Lytechinus pictus: one gene and its partner. The protein of the gene in region 1 binds, or shares a complex with, the protein of each later gene. Links are inferred from orthologs where the notes say so. Each region holds a gene or a part of one and is shown in the gene's direction. Other genes may lie near its edges. The genes, in order: major facilitator superfamily domain-containing protein 1-like and glycosylated lysosomal membrane protein B-like.

Region 1 (7,310 bases):
ACTTTCAGCCAATCAAATTGATGGATTGAATCAGTAGCTTTAAACTATTATTGCAAATTAATTATTTTTTATGAAACCGGCCCTTGGGCTTGAGGCTCTCAAGTTAACACCTGTAATCAATACACTTAGGATTGAATCATCATTCTTGAAATACTTCACCTTGTTGGACTGAATCATTAATGAACCATGATCCAAAGTCTCGTTTGAATCTCATCACCTCATAAACACCCGTTCCGTCACTGCTGAATAGAAACATCGCTCCATTCTCTGCAGGTGGAAAAAACATTATAAAGCCATTTCATAATCGGTGCTGAGAATGCCTAGAACTGCTTGTCCATGCTATTTTTAAGATCTTATTTGATTTTAAAAATTTTATTTATTATTATTTCATTTATATTCCACATTCACCACCATATAATACCAATATTTACATAGTACATAATAAGTACATGAAAACTGTCTATAGTAACCATCCTAGGGAAACACATATGCACTTGACTGCTATAGACAGGTTCTTAAACACAAAAATTGCCCCCAAGAAAATTTGTTTTAGAAGTCACTAAAAAAGGCAGGTGGCTGCTTTAGAGAGGTGGTCACTAATGCACTTTTGACTCACTGTATACTACCAGACAGATAATACAACAGTGAATAAGGATCTACCAAAAATCTAAGTTTGATTAATACAGACCCTTTACTTTAAATATTAAAATCAAGACAACATAAATAAACATTGTTTATCTTTAATATTAACCAATCAGACTTTAATTATTCTGGGAGAAAACTACCAAGACTAATACAAACAAGCAAGAATAATACAAAAATTCATATGAAAATAAATGGATCTCTCTGCTTGAATGGAAATATTTAACAGTTCGATGATCAGGCATAATATGGTGTAGCACCAGATGTTAAATATAAAGGCAGTGGTGCGTATATCAACTTAATGGTGCATAATGATGACCATTTCCCTATAAAATATGATTGTTTGAAGTGTTTTCCCTTATATATTCAGAATTCCCTTGTTTATTTTTGCGATTTAAAAAAAATGTTTGCTCGTAAAAGTCTGCAACAATACAAAGTCACAGAAATTCATGACAAATTTGCTCTTGACCAATGAAATTGCAGGAATTCTGCTTCATCACAGGAACTTGTCAATGAAAACATGCTTTAGGAAAGAAAAAAAAATACATGATAAATAAAAAGGTATTAAATATATACAATTTAATTTTTATACCTGTCTTAGGGTGCCTCAGCTTTACAAAAGTTGGATCTGGGCAACCATCAATACTATCAAGTGAAGATTCTGAAAGAATGGAAAGGGAAGGTAAAAAAAACACCAAATCATTAGTTTGTGTGAGAGGTTTTTCAGTATACTATCACAGCAATTTGATTATTTAAAATTAAATACATGTATGATATATCAATGAAACAGAAACATAGGGATGTCATATTGAAAATCTTGGCATTTCCAATTAGACATAAAACTACACAAAAGTAAAAACAGAAAATGGGGGCCTGTTGCATATTGAAAGTTTTTGTGTTAAGTGTCAATTGTGTAATTTTGTTTGCCAGAGTTTTTTATGGCAAAAGTTTTATGCAACAGGCCCAAGATCTTGGCTTCACGGCAAGACTACATTTAAAAAAAAAGAAGATAACTGACCACTTTGATATGTGCCTGTAATCCATTAAAAATTGACAGATTTGAGCTCTGGTCGGGTCTTTCAGATGGTGACGTTAAATGTTGTTCCCAGACTTAAATTATCCTATCAGATTGATTGATACATGTACAGCCAATATGGGAGACTCCAATGTGGGAGATAATCTCCCATATTAGAGACTTGCTTTGCAAAAGAACAAAAGAAACAACACCAACAAAAGCATAATTTTTTCCACCCAAAATTTTGTCTCACTAAGGTCAGAAGCCCATTTGTTTTGTGTGTGGATGACAACAAAAATCCTTATCAAAACAAAAGTAGACGGTGAAAAGAGGTAATTTTTCATGAGGAATCTGCTTATCACATTTTTATTTGCCGCCAAGGAAATCCTTTTGAAGCAAATGTAAACAAAGGAAATTGGTCTCCCAAACTGGAGACTGTCTCTGAAAATGGATAGCCCAATTCTTTACAAAAGTCTCTGATATTGGAGATAATCTCTCTCTCGGGAGACAGTCTCCAATATTGGCCATGTGCCTCTAGTGATGTATGGTAGTGGATTGTATTACCAGACACTTTTCATGAATTTAATCATATCAAATATATTATTCTCATAAAATTCACCAAACTTTTACCATAAATACAAAAATACCTACAAAATATAAACCTGTAAAAATTTTGCCGAAATCATTGTTATTTTTTACAATATCAGCTTCCCATCGGACCCCTCTTCGCATGTGAAATATTTTGGTCACTTGAAAATGGTATCGCATTACCGAAAGTGTGTTTTCTATGAGAACTTTGATAAAACAACAAAAGCACTGATGGGCTATTCTGAGAATATAGAGACTTTAAAAATGCATTTTTGACCATTTTTCATCATTTTAAAAATTCAAGTTCCCTTTGGAAAGATGTCGCAAAGTTTTAAGCGTTTGAAATTATTTTCAGATGCATATGATGCGCGTGTTTTTTTAATTAGATTCTACAGTGTATTTCCTTTTGTATACCCAGTCTCCAATAATGGGAGATATTTCCTGAATTGGAGACTTCTTTTTCTTCTCCCCCATCCGACCTCACTTTCTTCTGCACCAAGCGTCTTCTACTCACTAGTCTAGGCCTAGATCTATGGAAAGTTCCCCCCAGTCTGCGCAGTCCCCCTTGTCTGCGCACATGCGTATCTGCGCGATTCTAGTAAAAGAAGATACGCAAAGAACACAGACTTTACCCATGCAATACATAGACAGATATTCATTAAAAAATCTGACTCAAAATGGTGGAAAAATAATGAAGTTTGGGCATTTCATGTGACGGCCTCAAAATGCAGCCTTTCTCATCAAATTCCCCGAATCGTGTGCAAAGTGAATGGGTGCCAAGACATGGGGTACCATTTTCAATCTGAAAATGACAGCCTGAGGTTTTTTTCCAAGAAAATCCTATATTTCTTTCAAATTTTTATGAGATATTTGGTACACTTAATATTATAAGGAACATTATTAACTGAAAGATTTTGTGAAAGAAAAAGTAATTCATGTTAAATCTTAACTCAAATTGTTAGGTGCGAAGACTTGAAGGCCACCATTATACTATTCATTTTCCAGAATTCCTCCCTTAAAAAAAAAAAAGTCAAACAAAGTCAAAACAATGACTGACGTCAGATTGAGAATGACAATGACTGAATGAGTGAATGACATTGACAATGTTTTCTTCAGTAATATGCATGACTCTCCACCTCCTAGACCTAGTCTGTCAATGACAATGTTTTACTCTCGTCTCCTCCCTCTTTCTCCTTCTTTTTCTTCTCTTCCCTCCTTTTGTCTTCGTCATCATCGGCTTCAGCTTCGCGTCGACGTCAGGATCATTCAGAAACTCTTTTAGTCAGTGTCATGACACAATTACAAGCATGTGGGACTAAGCATCATGAAATTATCTGATTATGACAGAACAAAGTTGAAATTTCACTCTTACCTGGAGTAATACACACCCACTGATCCCTATCACATTTGGTACTCCCCTTTCCTTTCTGTTTCTTTGACTTTGGTGCCATGATTTATTAATCTAACCTTAACTGAGATTTATTTCTGCAAAAAGAACTAACTTTTTCAAGTTTTTGTCAACTCCTCGTTCGCGATCGCGGGTCGAGCAAATGTGGCGCGCCGTTTCTAACTTTTCGTTGAACCTCAATTCCAGGTTAATGATTGGATTTCAAATAAAAGTTTTAGTCATGTCATCAATCGTTGTTGAATTTCCAAAGTTACGAGAGCTGTTAAAAATAAAAATCACAAGATTTTATGAATGCCAGGGACTGCATTATAATTTGTATTTACGGAATAGGATTATATAACAAAGAATGATATGAATACATTTGTTTCTATTACTTTCCAAAGTTAGCATAGATAACCCCAATATTGCTGAAAATATATTGTCACGGTTGTTATTTCACGTGACGACCCCTCGCCTCGGCTGCTTTTGTGGTATATCTTTGCATTTGTGTCCAATTTGCATTAAGCTATGAGCCGACTCGACTGATGTTGTGAAGTTTGAAGATGCTATCCGCGGCTAGCTGAAAAGGAAACTCAAAACTTTTGACTTTTGTCCACTAATAAACTAAAAATCTTCGTTCAGGATCAAGTAAGGATGGAAAACAACGATCAGAATCATGATGAAAATGCACCGCTGCTGAGTGGACGACCGGACAGGAATCAAATTCAGGATGATGATGAGGATGTGGAACTCTCAGGCTGTGGAGCCACAGTTTGTTGTGATCCGAGACGGGCCCTGCATAGATACCTCATTCTTATTTTTATTTGTTTCTTAAGTTTTGGTAAGGATAGACTGAGGCAATATATCTTTATCTTCATTCTAGGGTGACTGTCATTAAAATGAGCTGAGAAAGTCTTAACTGATATTCCGTCAACTTACATTGTAGTTTAAGTTTAACGTTGTTTTTTTTTAAAGAAGTTAAGGAGCTAATTATTAGAGCCTGGTGCTGGACTCTGCTGGAGTTGGAGAGTAAAACTAAACAATTCTCTAGACTAAGCCTAAGGTGAGGTTAGCCTACTCTCCAACTCTAAGAGTTGCCTGGCACTGCACTGTTTGTGTCAATGGCACATTAAAAAAATAATTGCATGTAGACTTGTACTTGTAGTCGATCTTAAACAAGGTTTGGAAAACCATTTCCTGCATCCTGCCTCCACTCTATATAGAATGGATAAAATCATGAAAAATAATACTTGGAAAAAAAACAGTAATGTTTTGACAAAATGATTATCGTCAAATCCTATGATTTTTTAAAGGAACTATATTTATAAGAAAAATCACTTATGGTTTTAAAACGCAACTGTTGTCATAGAAAATTCCAATCACCGTCCAGACAATTGAAAACCTTTCTTTAGCCTAGGACTAGGAGTTGGTGAGTGATCAGACCATTGACATGACAAAAACATTCCAATTTTTAACATCAAAATGCATTTTTTATCTGAATAATGATGGGTAAAGAAAGATTGATTGATTCAGCTTAGGCCTATATTTTGGATTGAGTCATAAAGTTTTCGAACTTATCCAAGCTAGGAAGACAACAAGCTAGGAAGACAACAAGATAGGAAGACAACAAGATAGACCTGGAAACTTGACTGCAGGAACAACTGTATTTTTCCAGTAGATGCGGTATAAAGGTATAAAGGTATAAACATGCATAAGAAACAGCTGAGCAAAAACATGCTAACTAAAAGAAGTATATAGCGGCAGCGATTGCATGAATGGCCTGCACGTCTATAGCCTCTTTGAGGTGTTCAAGTGCAGTATTTACAAGACAAGACAACATGTTCATGTGTTGGGTAATAAATGTTGGTTCGTCACCATTTTTGTGAATTGATCCCAGAGGCCAGAATTGACCTTTGAATTGATGAAAGGATTTTAGTTGACATTTTTTTAATCTTACAAATTTCCAAGTCTTAATTCTCTCAATTTCTTAGGTATTGTGAATGTGGTATCAAAAATTTAATTCATTCACATCACAAATCTCTTCATTCATGTTTTTAATAGAAAAGCTGCATATTTGGTCTATATAAGAATATTTTTGTCCACTAAAACTATTGTAAGGTTGAGAAAATTATATGTTTGGAGGTAGAAAATAAATGAAGTTCTAAATCAAACTCAATCAATCATGCTGAAGGGGGAATAAGTGAAACAGACGCAAAATGAAGAGAACTTAAACCGAAGGAGTCTGGTTGTACACTTTTTAATATCTGGGCTATTTTGCCTCAGCTTAACTTTGGATCACAGAATAATTTACATAAATATTTAAATTAGAAATAGCAACCAATCAAACTAAAGAAAATGGAAGGATCGAACTAAAATGTAAGAACCCAATTCATAAGATAAACCAATAAGGAATGAGATGAGATGACAAAGATGTCTGGTGATTATGTAATAATGGAAGTAGAAACTAAGGAGTCAGGTGAGGGATGGAATGAGTGGAACACCTGAAGAGAGAATAGAGAAGGAATGAAGATGACAAGAGAAACACAGGAAAGGCATTCAGAGTAGAATGAATGAATGACAACTGAATATCATTAAACTCAAATAACCTAAGTCCAGACTGCAAGGGCAGTACTGAAAAGAAATGCAAATGAACTAAAGTCTAGACAGAACAGAAATGTAAAACACCTGAAGAAAACACAAGTCAAAGGAAATAAACAAAATAGGTAAATGACAAATTAACAATCCTACATAAACTTTCTCCTTCCAAAAAATTGTCCTCAATTTTCAAAAAGTAAAATTATATATAAAATAAAGCTGCAAAACCAGAATTTGACAAGTTGAACATCTAACATTATTTACATAAAAGAATTTAAAAAGAAGTAACGTAACCATGACATAATTCAATTTTATAATAAATGTGAAGACCAGGAGAGGATGGAAAAATAAAAAAAAAATATATATATTTTATCAGAATTTTGAACTTTTCCTTTTTGGCATCATATGAGTAACTTCAGTGGAAAATGAACATGCAAATAATTTCAATGTATATCTTATACTTGCATGCCATGAAATTAAATACCGTATCAATTAGAAAAAAACAAAAAACTGAAAATTTTTGTCTTGATTTCCGAAAAGAAAAAAAAATGTTATAATCTTGAATATATATATACATTTTTTTCAAATTATTAAAGATTTGTTTTTGTTAAATTTATGCATGTCTTGCCAACTGGAAAAATGTATCTCCTGGACTTACAAAAAAAATGAAAAACTTATGAGAGCACCACTAGACAAATAGATAAAAACAATTATGGTAGCTCAAAGGAATATTGAACATTGAAAAGTGCAAGACAAAATACTACTGAACTTTACAAAAATTTAACATATGACGTTCAGCAAATAACTTAATTACCAGAAATTATGAAAAATCAAACATTTGAATTTATATAAAGCCATATTTTCTGAAATTATATGACAAAGTATATCTGTGAAAATCTTTGACTTTACTTTAAAAAAGACATTAAACTAGGGGTATCAAAAATCTAGGAATTTTAACTGAATGTTGGAAAAAGAAATTACTGAGTAATACAAATAAAAAAGACTTATTTTGTATAATTTGTAAAATTACAATGATGAAACTTCAATAGTAAAAAATAAGAAATGATTTAAATTGAACATTGA
Region 2 (7,507 bases), on another chromosome or scaffold:
TTATCATTTTGATATATTATGATAATGTGAAAATAAAGTTGAACTTGATCTATACAGTTACTTTTCTAGCCAATTTATCATAGGGCAACTTAATTGCTATCAAGTTCTGCAAACGATATTCTGTTAAATTCAATTATTAAAAATACAAGAATGCCCAAAAAATGTTCGGTAAACAAAAAACAAATTCGAGAAGTTATACCAGAAAATGTAAAGGAATAAAAACATGCTCTTAAATCAACGGCAGCACCCTACTTTAGGTTTTTTCTCTTTGTTCTTTCGTTTGCTGGATTTCTATTTCATTTTTTAGTTGTTTTTTCCTTCTCCATTTTTTCTATTTTCCCCTCATTTTTACCATGACACAAAGCAGGACACAAATAAATTAAGCCCGATTTCATCCAAATCTCTAAAACTGAATAAACCATAATTCTTATCTTTATTATTCTGAACCAAAAACTTTATTACAATCCTAACTATAACTCTATGCCCACTAAGTACCCTGACGAGTCACAACTCATGCAGGGGACGTACGTACCCCTGCCCCCTGACGAGTCACAACTGATCCAGGGGACGTTCCCCCCCCCCCCTTTGAGAAGCAAAATTAATAATTTGTAATGTAAATATGCAAAGAAAACCGACGTGTGCGCCCTCTTTTGAACTTAAAGACTTTTTTTTTTTTTTTTGCTTGTCAATTTTTTTTCTGGTACGAAATCCTGTATTTGTGGTTGATCAAGCTGCTGCAAACAGTGACTATAATAGCTCATTATTTTACCATGCTGTACTGTACTAAAGGCTTGCAGTTCTCCAGTGAACGGAGGAATTCAACAGAAGAAGAAGAAGGTAGAAGACCTTTTTTTTTTTTGCTTGTCAATTTTTTTCGCGGACGAAATATCCTCCACAAACTTTGCCCCCCTTTCAATTCTGGGTACGCCGCTGCCTATGCCGTATATGTAAAGACCGGAGTAATTGTAGCAGGAGCAAATGTCGTGTCACCGATATGCTCTCTATCTCTTCCTCTATCTTTTGTTTATTCATTATCATAATTCTTCTCTCTCCTGGAGAACTTTCTGATACCTGATTAAAGACAGGAGCCGTTTGATATATTAAATAATGATAGTAATTTCACCGATGGATGTTTCTTTTTTCCCTTTTGTTCCGTTTATTTATAATTATTTTCTTCGAAAATTATCTTGGCGCGTCGTTTTCTAGTGGTCTTACCTTTCAAACACAATGGTCGTGGTTTCCTTTAGCAAGAAAAGTATCTACTCAGTGCTGCTTTCTACACAGGGGAGGTGAATGGGTGTCTGACATAATTATTAATTCACTGAAGGCGCTTGTTGAAAAGGATGATACTCGGTCTAAAACCTGTGTTTTAGCACATTCTTTGCATCCTCATGCAGGCAAAAGGCGCTACAAATGCAGATATTGATATTATTATGATTATAATACAGCTACAATTATTAATGCAATCGTTTTCATTTGGATAGACTATACTCTGATTGGGAGTAGATCATTTATTAATACACTTTTGGTGGATCTGGATGTATACGACTCAGGACCAAAATCCAGTTGAAACCAATTAGAGCAAAACCACTTGAAACCAACTGGTTTCAATAAATTGGAACAACTGGTTCCAACTGGAACCAGTTGGCAATTGGTTTCAATTGGTTCCAGTTGAAACAAATTAGGCAACTGCCCCTCAGTTGGTTCCAGTAATTGTTCCAATTTTCTTATTAAAACCAGTTGAATCTAATTGGAGGCAACTGGTTTCAATTGGTTCCAGGGGGTTCCAGTTAAAACCAATTGGAAGCAACTGGTTTCAATTGGTTTGCTGGAACCAGTTGGAACTTCCAGTTGGAATTGACTTAATTAGTTACAAATTAATTAGAATTTGTACTAACTATAGCCCATGCCAACACAGAAGCATTGTTATATCATTCTATTAATACCAATGTAAAGGGCATTGATAAAATTTAGACTTTCATACATATATATTTGTGTGGAGGAGCTTCGAATATATGTATTTGTATTTGGTGTAATTTGGTAACAGTTAGTGATGTATTAATTATATTTTAATCTGTTAAAAATTGTAATATATAATATTTATGAACATGGTTTTCACGTACTGCTAACTCTTCTAAACAAGTTTATCTTAAACAAGTGAGGCACTTGAGAAAGAAAAGAAATGAATTTATACATTGTAAATGATGATGAATCACATAAAACATTACTTTGTACACATTGGCAGATAATATGCAAATTAACTAGTTTCAATTGGATCCAGTTGGATAACCGGAAAATTTTCAAATTGAAAACCAATTGGAAGTCATTTCCAGTTACCCAACTGGTTCCAGTTAGGATTTCCAGTTATCCAACTCAGTGGTTCCGATTGGAAGTCATATCCAGTTACCAACTTTCCAGTTAGAAGTCATTTCCAGTTACCCAACTGCATGGTTCCAGTTAGGATTTCCAGTTACCCAACTGGTTCCATGCAGTTAGAAGTCAATTTCATGCAGTTGATCATTTCCAGCTAGTGCAACTGCAGTTAGGATTTCCAGGGCCGTAACTATTTCCAGTATTTCCAGTTGGAAGACATTTCCAGTTACTCAACTGGTTCCAGTTAGGATATCCAGTTGCCCAACTGGTTACAATTGGAAATTGTTACATTCCAGTTAAGACCAATTGAAACCAGTTGAAACCTATTGAAACCAGTTGGAAATCCAACTGGTTTCAATGAGGGCCCTCCTGGGCATAAACACATCGGGTACTTGACCTGGATTTTGCCGGCCGGGACCACTGAACAAGAAATATTATTATTAGTATTTCTAGTTCAGTCCCACTGGGCATTTTACCTGACATTACCCGGGTTGTAACAGGTAATAACATGGATATTACTACGGTAACAACAGTGGGTAATAACAGGGAAATAGTAGACCAATCCTTCCCTCTTATTACCTGGACCTGATATTACTCCATTTACCCAATATTTCTCAGTATGATGTAACTACTATTTCCAGCATTTTAATGATATCACCACCTCATATTACTCTGTTTACCCAATATTACCCAATTAATGTCGGCTCATTAAAAAAACGATTAGTGTCATTAGGGTCATTGAAGCACATTTTTACAACTCCATACTCTAAGCCATATCATCTTATCCTATCCTAAAATCCTACATCCTAATCCTAATCCTATCCTACACCTATCCACCAAACCCTCTCATTTACTTCTATATATTGAGCGAGTTTACAACACTTGACAAATTATGGTTAACAATTATTCAACCCTAAAACATTTTTCTAAAATTAATGTCATGATTATGACTAATATGATATATAAACTACACATTTTTCTGAAAATTTTCTGGGTGGAATAATTGCATAAACATAAACACATTAATTATTACAGCTATATTAGCTAAAATTTTGGCCATTTATTGTAGTAATGAATATTCATGAGTAACTAATATTCCCAGCATTTTCCTGATATTACCATCTGATATTACTCCATTTACCCAATATTAATGGGTTCCGCATGGGTTGGAGGTCTCGTTTCCATCTGAGTCCTATCTGGGCACCATGTGGGTTCAAGTATATGTTTTCATCTCGGGTTCCATGTGGGCCCATATGGGACCCAGATATCCCAGATAAGAACTGTATGTGATCCAGATACTTTGCTGTCTGGGAATGGAAGCGTTTCAACATTACCCATTACCCCTTATCAACCTGTTTGTAACTGGGTAAAATGTTGGTTTCATCAGGGTGATAACAGTAATTTTTTGGACTTTGAAAATTTCGCCGGGATTGCTGTAAGATTGCTCTTATTACTAAAGTTTGCAATGTTATAACCAATCAAAGTCATTCAACATTACCCTTATTACCCCTCATCACCCTGTTGTAACTAGGTAAATGTAGGTTTCATCAGGGTGATAACAGTAACAGGTATCAACAGGAATTATAATTTCGGTAATAACATGGTAATAACGGTAATATTTGGTGTTACTCAAATTTCCGGGTGATATTACCGGTAATAACCGGTAAAATTGGTAATCGGTAACAAATTGCCCAGTGGGGTGGCTGGGACCGGTGATCTAGCATGTCTTTGTGAATTCGGATATGAATGGAAAAAAAAAAACAATTGAGAAATAGGATAGGCCTTTGCAAATTAAAATGTGCGGTTTCATTGCATAACATTCGTGCTTTCTTAGCAGTCAGGTAAAAAACCTCGATATAACATATAATCCTCATTACCAGGTCCCTCGGAGAGGACCTTAAGCCGTTGGTCCCCTGGTTGCTTGCTCACAGGCATTCGTGTTTTCTTAGCAGTCAGGTAAAACAACCTCGGTATAACATAACATAACATAACAACATAACATAACATAACATTATCATTGTTATTAAAATCAATCGTGAAATCGGCCTACGTCAATCGCAAAGTTTTGTGTTACCGATACGGAGGTCACGTTACTTGATCAAATATCACATGATCATTAGTCTAGCGGAAATCATATCGGCTCAGCGCAGTCAGTGAAAAATGAAAGGAGACGAGGCCGAGCGAGGGGCAAGTATCAAGAATTATCTCCAAAATGACTGCAACTGCATTTATGTTCAGATGTTTGTTCCTTATTTCTACTATCACAGTTGGTGTAAAATGTGATGATCAGATTAGAAATGTAAGTGGATGTACTGTTATTTAGCAGCTAGCTGAGCACCCGTTTTGAATCAAATTTTCCCCGCACATCACACAGCCAGGCCAAGCAGCGGGCCAGGGCGAGAAGTGCATCGGTGAGATGCGGCGATAGATGTTCGTAGCCGTAGGGGCCCGCCGAAAATGAAGTCAGTGTTTATAATTATATGTGACTGAGCTGTGTCGAGAGAAGAGTCACGGCTTTTCAAAAAAAAAAAAAAACGTTTGTATTGCAAGTAAATATCGAATCTCTTTGTTCCATTTGTTGTTTGATGTTTCTATGTTACTTAGAAATTAATCACCGAATGTCATAATTGGGGTTTGTTGTCTGTTTTTTTTGTTTTGTTTTGTTAATGTTGTGTGTGTGGACATGTCTTGAGGACTCTGTGTGATCATATTTTTATGATTTTGATATTGTCATTTGATCACGAAGCCTTGAACCTCCTCCCATATTATAAGAGACACATGTAAACAAAGATGGATTTCCCTAGGAAATCCATCTTTGAAGATAGAAATCATTTGTGTGATTTTACTTATTTATATTTTATCATGTTTATCAGTAGAGGCGCACGGCCAATATGGGAGACTCTTCAATAGGGGAGACAATCTCCCATATTGGAGACTCGAAAGAAACAACACCAACAAAAGCGTTATTTTTTCCACCCAAAATTTTGTCTCACTAGGGCCGTCTGCACCATCCCGAGTTTTCAAATTAGCGCGCTATTTCTGATCCGGCAAATTATCCCGATCTGAAAAATCTCGAGATAGTTTGCGGTGGAGACGCAATTATCGCGCTAGTTCGTAGGATTAATCTCGAGATTGCAATCCCAAGTCAACTCGGGTTTATTTGCAAAATAGCGCGCTATTTTACGAATTATCTTGCTAATTCGTCGGTGCAGACGCACTCGAGATTGGACTCGGGGTAATTTATTCATGACGTCAGTCCGTAATGCAATTCGCGTTCCACTTCCGCCTTGGTCAAAACATAAACACGTGCGAAAGTCAACTTTATACATGCGAATAGATATTATCGCGAATAGCGTTCATCAATTGCCTAATCAGCAACGATGGTGTCCCACCAGTGAATGGATTTTGGGAGAGACCAGACCGAAGGGGGAGGCGCTCATCGACGATGGTCATATTCAATAACAACACTGACAGCAGTGTTGTCTTATTCTTTCGCAAAATGTGAGCAAATAGCATTTCTTTCCTCCTTCTCTCCCTCTCTCTCTCTCTGTCGTTGCCTCCTACTCCGCCATCATATTTAACGAAGAATACATCACTTCTTCACTCGCTGAGCTGAGAGGATTGTTGCATAACACCGGTCGAATTCGGCGAAAGTGCTAGTGAAAGGAGTACATTGCTTGCATATCGCGGGAAGTTATTCAAAAGCGCGGGCCGTTGAAACTCCAAGATCCGAAAGTGCGCATGCTCGTAATATCGGTCTTGTTGCCTCGCTCGAGCAGGGATCGCTCTTCTTGCGATGGTGGAGACGGGGTTTCTTGAATCTCGAGATTAATCGCGAAGTGGACCGAGCGGGCTAAAATCTCGAGATTGAGCAAACTCGGGATGGTGCAGCACCGCCTACTTAGGTCAGAAGCCCATTTGTTTTGTGTGTGGATGACAACAAAAATCCTTATCAAAACAAAAGTAGGCGGTGAAAAAGGGTAATTTTTCATATCTGCCAATCACACCTTTTGCAGCAAATGTAAACAAAGGATATTGGTCTCCCAAACTGGAGACTGTCTCTGAAATTGGATACCCAAATTATTTACAAAAGTCTCTGATATTAGAGATAATCTCTCTCTTGGGAGACAGTCTCCCATATTGGCTGTGCGCCTCTACTGTTTATACACCTTCATACGCCTAATGCGTAAGAAGGTGCATAAAAATGTGTTAATAAAAAGGTGAAAAATTTGAGTTTTCTTACCAGACCGATCTCGTGTAGATCCCTCGATCCATTTGTACACAACGCAAATACAATGGGCTTGAACTGCTTATGTATGACGTACAGGTCTTCGATTAACGATGTTACAAAATGCCGTTTTGAAGAACAATTTATAGATAAAAATTATTATTTAACAAATAATGAAATTTGGAACTTGATGCAAAATAATTATTATAATAATGGATCATTGCATTGGATGCAGTGAGTGATTTAAGGTTAGAAAGTAATCAGAATCCAACGCACTCACACTAATGCGAGTTTTGTATACAGACGGACCTCGCACGTACGTGTATGCAATGTTCTTCAATGGGCGTGAATTTTCAAACACTGAAACAGTTAGCAACTAGCATTAGCAAACATTGCCTCGTAACATAACAGATGTAATGTTTTCTGCAATTCCGAATATCGGTCTTAAAGATCCAGACCGGACCCGAAAATGAAATTGATAAATTATATACCAATCGAAAGCTTATAAGCTACTAAATGCACCAAGGTATGCTTTATGCATTTTCACCGCTTCCCAGCTGAGTATTTTGCTTAATTAAGAATATTCCAATTATCGGGTTTCGAACCCCGCTTAGAAAATAGGCTTTATTGTCCTTTTCACCTGCCTCGAGACCGTGACGTCACGTTGTGTAAGAAGCGTCGTGATTCCATAGGTTTGTACACAAAAAACTGGGTGATTTTTTTGCTTTCCAGATAATGCATTTCATTCTCTTCACTTCTATCACAGAGGGATATTACATATATTTTTACCCACAAGCTTGAATTTATGAAATCTGCAGTTTTGAACTAGTTTTTGCCATATTTTATTTCCTGCTTATAAATTTGGCGCAGATTTCAATTCTATCTGCATTTAGATTATGTATAACA

What was found.
Region 2: the proteins of major facilitator superfamily domain-containing protein 1-like (region 1) and glycosylated lysosomal membrane protein B-like are in contact, whole or in part, in a cryo-EM structure (PDB 8R8Q), measured with the Mus musculus proteins. The link is inferred for Lytechinus pictus from reciprocal best matches to the Homo sapiens genes MFSD1 and GLMP. Residues at the interface, in NP_080089.1 of Mus musculus: Val288, Glu292, Lys293, Arg295, Phe349, Phe351, Leu411, Asp412, Lys414, Gly415, Tyr416, Leu417, Leu418, Val421, Ile424, Ser428, Leu432, Val435, Leu439; in NP_064387.1 of Mus musculus: Glu250, Asn252, Ser253, Ile254, Asp255, Asp256, Glu257, Pro260, Ala261, Phe263, Gln264, Arg292, Phe364, Leu367, Val368, Ile371, Met372, Ala375, Ala378, Leu381, Met382, Gly385, Phe389.

What each region holds. Positions count from the first base shown.
Region 1 is NC_087260.1:28,506,885-28,514,194, reverse strand, and holds the start of major facilitator superfamily domain-containing protein 1-like, read left to right. Parts: upstream 1-4,102; 5' UTR 4,103-4,286; coding exon 4,287-4,473; intron 4,474-7,310. Other genes in the region: ribonuclease H2 subunit B-like, read right to left, coding at 160-267, 1,235-1,303, 3,618-3,696. UniProt on the Homo sapiens protein: Lysosomal dipeptide uniporter that selectively exports lysine, arginine or histidine-containing dipeptides with a net positive charge from the lysosome lumen into the cytosol.
Region 2 is NC_087249.1:14,775,087-14,782,593, reverse strand, and holds the start of glycosylated lysosomal membrane protein B-like, read left to right. Parts: upstream 1-4,477; 5' UTR 4,478-4,585; coding exon 4,586-4,672; intron 4,673-7,507. UniProt on the Homo sapiens protein: Required to protect lysosomal transporter MFSD1 from lysosomal proteolysis and for MFSD1 lysosomal localization.